Tribolium castaneum: one gene and its partner. The protein of the gene in region 1 purifies or fractionates together with the protein of each later gene. This does not show direct contact. Links are inferred from orthologs where the notes say so. Each region holds a gene or a part of one and is shown on either strand. Other genes may lie near its edges.

Region 1 (3,930 bases):
GTTTAAAGAGATTTATATTAAGAATATGTACTGAAAAAGTAATTTAATAATCTGTTACCTCTGCAAGATTAAAAAATTCTACCGAAAAATAATTATATCTACTGTGTGAACATTTGAATTTATAATTAGAGTAGGCGTGTTTTTTCTTTGTGATTGACACATTAGTGCAAACTGAGGGAATAAATTAATTCTAATTAAATATTACCGTTGTAAATATATTTTTCTGTTGTCCTAACTTGGACTTACCAAATCATTTGACTCCTGAATATGTATGATAAAATTTTATACACATTTTTAACGTAATAAAAACATTTATTTTTATTTACAAAAATAATGAAAAGAAACAGAACTTAAATTTTTTTTAATTATTTTCTAATAACCAATTTTTTCTTTGTTTCTTTCGTTCCTAAAGAGGTTTACGCATATGTCCCAGAACTCATCTGAAAAAGAGTAAAAATCGAGTTTCTAAGTTTATTTTTGTTAAATTACAGTTTCCTGTAATTGTGACATCAGACTATAAAAATTAAAACAAGAAACATGCAAATACAACAACACTTTATTATTATTCTATGAACATTTTTCAAATTTGACGTGTTCTCATAGAAAATAAATTTCCTATTTACAATTTTTTAGTAGAAAATCAATTATTTTAGACCGTCGCTAGCAACTCTCTCTACACGCCCGAACTCACCCAAACGTTGAAAAAAATCTCCGACAATCTAGTCACCGAATTCGAGGAACCGCCCACTGACGAAACCCCGCCCAAAATCCTAAAACCCGCCCTCTCACCAATGGTGGACCTCACCAAACCTGAACACTTGCACGGATTGGCTGAACGTATCGTGGGCGTGGAAAGTGTCATCTTTCTCGCCAAACAATATGAATATTTACAGGAATTCCTCGAGTATTTAATCCCGCCCACGAATAAAATAATGTTGCAACAGTTTTTCACACAGGTGAGTCACTATTTCAATTTAAAAGCCGTTAAAATGTAACCACCGGTTGTCATGTTCACTTCTGGATGCGTCCTATTGGCCAACACTTGATAATTACGCATAAAGTTAGTCACGATTTTTATATGAATGAAGTCGAGTTTCTCCTTAAGGTGGAGGTATAGGTCTTGAAGGGGCTCGCGTGATTGGTTGAAAACGATAAGGTTACGCCCACCGGTCAGGAATTGGGCCAATTGCGAGACGAGGGCGTTTGGGTGTTCTTTTGAAGCGATGATAAGCGAATCCACGCCTTTGTTGAGTAGTTGACACGCCCGCTCGTTCTCGATTTGCCAGTTGGGTTTCTTTGGCTCCGCCCCCTCCTCGATTTTCATTTTTTTATTAGCAGGGGGGTCGTCAAATGTTTCTTTCTGTTGGTAGTAACAACGTAATACTGAATATAAGTTAACGTTGATGCAACGATTGAGTTGTTCGGGAGGGAAGTTCATAGCAACGAGGGCACTTTTCTGGCATTCGTTCCCCGGGTGTAGGTGTATCAAGTGGGCGGGGCTTCCGCCCCCTAATTGGTGGAGCAAAGCGGCTGGGAGGAGCCCCGAAGTGCCACTATCATACAATAGGTGGGTTCCTTGTGATTGTATGTTTGAATAAGTCAGGATTTGGGATAAGTCATCGATTCGGATTCCGAGCGTTTTGCTCGGGTCTTGTCGGTAGAACATTGTTGCCAACAGGCGAATTGTGGGCCGCCTTATCTGGACATATTCGAAATATTTTTTTTCTTTCTTTTTGATGTATTTCTCCTGGCTGTATTCAGTCTTCGAGTTGAACGTTTTCGAATTATTGATCAGTTTTTCAACGATTGAATTCGAGTTAAGTTCCTCACTTTTGAGCTTCGAAATATCTTCAGTTGTGAGATTTTGTGATTGTCCATCATCGGTTATATTACGATTGTCGAGGCCACTTTTCTCGATGTTAATCGACGTGATTCCGGGCATTTCGTCCACTTTTTCAAGCGTGAAAAGCTTCCGATTGCCTGGAAAATTCTTCATTTGGAAAGTTGCCCCATATTTTTCCCCCACGATGTTATCCAATTCGACGGTGAAACTACCAAGCGAGAGGGTCCCATGAGCCTTCAATTTGTGTAGTTTTGTGTACCCCTGACGTTGCACTATCACAAAATCACCCACTTTTATCACATTTTGATCCATGCTTGATTTTTGAGGTTATGTACTTTGGGGTTATCAAACGTTACTAGTAGAAAAAGATAGCGCAATTGAAAATCAACAAGGACGACAAAGACGGGTTATTGGTGCTTTCAGAATGGCACCATGACCGATAAAATCCCCTAGATAATTTAAAATTAATTAAAAATTTTAGAACATTTCGAGCGCTAAGGACCTACGAAAGCCCGTTTACATGTCCGTGGGGGCGCAGGCGTTCGATTTGCGTCAAATTTTGGTCTCAATGGCGAAAATTAACTGGGAGGTGAAGGAAGTCATGTCGCAACACAACACCTACATTGACCGAATCCTCCGAGTAATTATAATAAATTACAAATTGATTTAATTAAACTAATTGCGTATAATGTCAGGAGGTGCAGATTTTCACATTGCGGTTGGAGGAAGTCGCTCACAAAGTCCCCGTTTCTGTTGAAGTTTCCACGTCGTTGTGGGAAAGTATCGCCCATATAATCACCCACACGTTGGTTCAAGGGTAATTAATTGATTGCAATTGCAATTAAGTGTAATTATGTGTAATTAAGGTTCAGCGAGGCGAAAAAGTGTTCAAACGGGGGGCGGGCTCTAATGCAACTTGATTTTATCCAATTTTTGTCCAAGTTTGAAAAAATGGCTGGTTTAAGGCCCGTTCCTCATCGCGAATATGTGGAAAACTATATAAAGGCGTTTTATTTGCCCGAATCTGAGTTGGAAAAGTGGATTAAGGAACATGGGGTGAGTTGGAAAGTAGGTTGTTTGTCGTTTTAATTTTTTTTTTGTAAGGAATATTCGGCTAAACATTTGTTCGGGTTGGTTTCCTGTGCGTGTCAGAGTAATAAGAAGACGAAACAGAGGCTTCTGCAAGTGATTGATGAGGGGGACAGGGGGGATAGGTAGCCTTTGCTTGATTGTGATATTTGATAGGGCACAAAGTGACATAAAGTTTCAATTATTTTATTTAGTTTTTTACATGAGCAGGCACTATTTATGTTAACATTTTAGGTTTAATTAATAATTATACACAAAAATGAATTTTTTAATTACATTGAATTTTGTAATTCAAAAATCAATAAAATTTATTAAAAACCAAAGTTGTGGCTTGTTTTTTATTTCCATTAAAATTTAATATACTTATGAGTAGATACTACGGGTATCTAAAGATTAGGATATGAAACGACGTACAAATAAGAAGTTCACGTTTTCGCTAGCGGTGAAAAAATATAAGTGTTTTTCAAGAAAAAAAAACGGAAACTTTTTTTTTTTCAAAAAGTACTGTTTTAATTGTTTTCAAATTAACACATTATGTAATTCCATGAAGCTCATGAACATTTTTACGTTGGACAAAAACACTTTGCTTGTTTTTGCGTTCAATAAAATTACGTTTTTTTTTCTCCTGTTTTGACATTTTACGGTGGACCACGGATATCTATAGGTTAGGATGCGAAACGACGTACAAATGAAACGTTCCCGTTCTCGATAGTTACGTTAATATCGCCAGATGGCGCAGTTGTTTCATTACCCTCTAAGTTTTCAGAAAAAATGGTTGTATTTGTATAACGGTTAACACAGCAAATAAAAAAAATACTGGCAGATAAAGCATTAAATTCTCAATAGTAAGACATAAACAAAATGCAAAAATTTTATCGTAAACTATATAAAAAAAATTCAAACTTTGCCAATTTACACTCTGTTCGATATTTTTTAAAACGCTGCGAATACGGCAACAGTTGCAAGAAAAATGATACAAAGAGAGTTGTAGAGAATTA
Region 2 (3,169 bases), on another chromosome or scaffold:
TCGAAATCTCTACCTTTATTATGTGCTATTGCCAGATAAGGACAAAAGTTCAGAAAGTAGGGTTAGGGTGTATTATGCTCTCTTCTGAAGTGTTAAATTTTAACTTTAATGTTTTTTGTGTGCTTTCCTGCTCTTCTAGAGCGCTATTAATTATTATTGAACATGTTTAAGGACAGACAAATCTACCTTGAGTCAACGACATAAATTTCAGTGAGATTTATTGAAAAATGCACTTCTCGTGTCAACCTTTTCATGAAAAAGGGTGTTTAAACGTTTATAAAGGGTATGTTAACGTGTGTTGTTAACTTTACCACGTAATAAAACATAAAGTATAACTTGGTAATTTTTTACTTTAACTACTTCTGGATTTTCAAGCTGAAACTTACACCAAACGATTCCTCTGAGTGCCCTGATGACCGTACACTATGAATTTTCTTGTGCAAATTGAAAATAACATTAGAAAAATAATTTTTATTTTCACTCACTTTTTACTTGAATCGCCATTTTTGTTGATTTTAAGGGATACAACCAGGCATTCCGAACTGATATAGCCAAATCCACAGAATAACAGGTTTTACGAATCGAACCCTCACTGAAATAGGTTTTACTGATGATGAGGATAGATGGCCCTAGTGTTTTACGGGAAAAAGAAGTCCTATTGGCGGATTTAAAATTCCAGATTATTGAAGAAAAACGTGGTACCGATGCGCAGCTGACAAGTAAAAATTTCACAAACGTCAGCAAAATTTGAGTTTATTTTTTATAATATCACGTTAATTTTTCAAAGTTTTATTAAGATAGTGGATCAAGGTGTCGTGTTTGGGTTAGACTATTGCCCACTATCGGTTAGGAACAACATGATCTCTAAAAATATAACGTAGTAATGAGCTCCAGAAGGTTTACGTAGATAGGTGCGTTTTTCCCAAAAGTGAGTTTTTTGAGATCGAACCGCAAGTGAGTCACACTGCGAGAAGACTCCCATAGACAGAAGTTGCAAACATAAGGTGCCAGACCGGTGCCAGTTTGGCTGATTGCAAGTATGTCGTTATCATCGATTCGGTGACGACTATTAGTTTTGTAAACTTAATGGATTTAATAAATATCTTTAACATTAAATGTGATCGTGTCATGTTGGGTAAAATTCTTCCATCTGTGCTGTCTGTGCATCCACCTTTTCAAATACAATTAGGAAATTTTCAATAATTGTATTTGATAAGGTTTTGACATCATTTTGACGTGAGCAAAAATTAAAAAAATACAAAGTAATCGGAATTATTTTAAATTTGCGCCATTTTTAGTACGTGATGATGCGGCTAGATGGCTTCAGCTAGGAATTTATTGCCAACCATTATGTTCCGCTTCTATAAAAGTGTTATTCTAGGACCTAACCTAATATTCTGAAATAATTCGCGATGAGTTTCGACGATTATAAAGCAGTGATAGACGAGGGCGATACAGTAATTCTTTATTTGACGATAAGCCAGATCTACAGTATTCGTGCCGAAGCTAAAACTTTAAGTAAAAAAGGAGTAGAAGTAGAGAATGTGTTCCAGACGCCTTATGGGGCTCTCAAGTGTGCTGATTTGATAGGGAAGCCCTACGGTTCAAAGATCACTCTGAGTAAAGGTTGGGGCTACGTGATGCAGCCCACCCCCGAATTGTGGACCCAAACCCTGCCCCATCGAACCCAAATAATCTACACGCCTGATATCAGCATGATTATCCTTCAGCTGGAAATTGCTCCTGGTAGTATCGTTGTGGAGAGTGGTACCGGGAGTGGCTCCCTGTCCCATGCCCTAATCCGAGCTGTGAAACCAACCGGACACTTGTACACTTTTGATTTCCATAAAAACAGAGTAGAACTAGTCCGAGAAGAATTCGCCCAGCATGGCTTAAGTGACTATGTCACCGTCAGTCAACGGGACGTTTGCTCCAGTGGATTTGGGGATGAGTTAGAGAATAAAGCGGATTCAGTGTTTCTAGATTTGCCACATCCTTGGCAAGCAATACCACACACTTTGAACGTAATCAAAGAAACAGGGGGGCGCATTTGCTCATTTTCGCCGTGTATTGAACAAGTACAAAAGAGTTGTGAGGTTTTGTCAAAATTAGGGTTTCAAGAAATACAGACAATGGAAGTTTTGCAAACTTCCTACTCTGTGCAGACAAGGAAATTGCCGGTGCTTGATTTGGATTTCCTTAAAAGTGAAAAGGATGGAACGGAGACAAAGGGTAAAGAGAGGGAAGTTGTGAAGTGTGTTACGGCTGTTCCACCTGCAAGTATGCCGGGACATACGGGCTATCTAACGTTCGCCTCGTTGCCCCCCGTCTGGGCAAGGAGTCTCCAAATCAGCCTAAATCAGGCCCAAGAAGACAATTCCCCCGATTTATAAAACATACCTATTTTATTTATTTTAAGGACACGTATTTGTAGTATTTTAATTTTTAATAAAGTTTTTTTACTGTGATTTTGTTTATTAGTGTACACGTCCCTATGTATTTTATTATTTTCTCAATTACGTCGAAATTGCCCAAAAAAATAAACTATTTTGACGTATACCCATGTAAAATGATCCGGGGAATCGATTGGCGTCGAGAAAATCGCCAAATTTCCAATCGTTTTTGAGTTATGATTTTTTTTTAATTTTTCTTGCTTTTGTTTGCAATTTTCTCGAAAACTATTAGTCGTTTTTCACAGCAAGACATAATTCTAACCCCATTTGATGCTTTTTTATTTAGAGTCTTTTAGTTATGGCGATATCTAAGGGTGCAAGTTTTAGTTGAGACACCCTCTATAAACTGACTATTAAAAGGACAATTGCGGTTTTATAGTAATTAGTTTTATGTATTGTGTAATCCCATTTATTCAAATACATAAGAACACAACGAATTTTGGTCGTTTTTATTAAAAAGAACAAAAAAATGTTTGTGGAGAAAATAAATTAGATCATTAGCCTAATCAGATTTATTATTTTCATACTGTAACAATGATACATCCGAAGTAATTAGCAACATCCAGATATGTTTAATATTTAATTACAAAACTGACATCCATATCAATATGGTTTAATTACGACTGAAAATTCGAAAGAAGCTAGTTACATTCATTGCAAACAAATCATTTACTTTTTATTTTACGTATCCTTCTACAAAACGTTTCAATTGAAAA

Evidence for each region.
Region 2: the proteins of Trmt6 (region 1) and Trmt61 purify together in Homo sapiens (affinity purification with mass spectrometry; 4 studies listed by BioGRID and IntAct, counting the BioPlex papers as one, with this or other methods). This does not show direct contact. The link is inferred for Tribolium castaneum from reciprocal best matches to the Homo sapiens genes TRMT6 and TRMT61A.

The regions. Positions count from the first base shown.
Region 1 is NC_087401.1:9,932,852-9,936,781, reverse strand, and holds Trmt6 (tRNA (adenine(58)-N(1))-methyltransferase non-catalytic subunit TRM6), read right to left. Parts: upstream 2,308-3,930; 5' UTR 2,156-2,307; coding exon 965-2,155; 3' UTR 957-964; coding exon of another isoform or gene 654-956; 3' UTR 541-653; downstream 1-540. Other genes in the region: Vps50 (syndetin), read left to right, coding at 654-956, 2,325-2,483, 2,539-2,660, 2,710-2,899, 2,948-3,061. UniProt on the Homo sapiens protein: Substrate-binding subunit of tRNA (adenine-N(1)-)-methyltransferase, which catalyzes the formation of N(1)-methyladenine at position 58 (m1A58) in initiator methionyl-tRNA.
Region 2 is NC_087397.1:4,479,530-4,482,698, forward strand, and holds Trmt61 (tRNA (adenine(58)-N(1))-methyltransferase catalytic subunit TRMT61A), read left to right. Parts: upstream 1-1,311; 5' UTR 1,312-1,412; coding exon 1,413-2,393; 3' UTR 2,394-2,468; downstream 2,469-3,169. UniProt on the Homo sapiens protein: Catalytic subunit of tRNA (adenine-N(1)-)-methyltransferase, which catalyzes the formation of N(1)-methyladenine at position 58 (m1A58) in initiator methionyl-tRNA.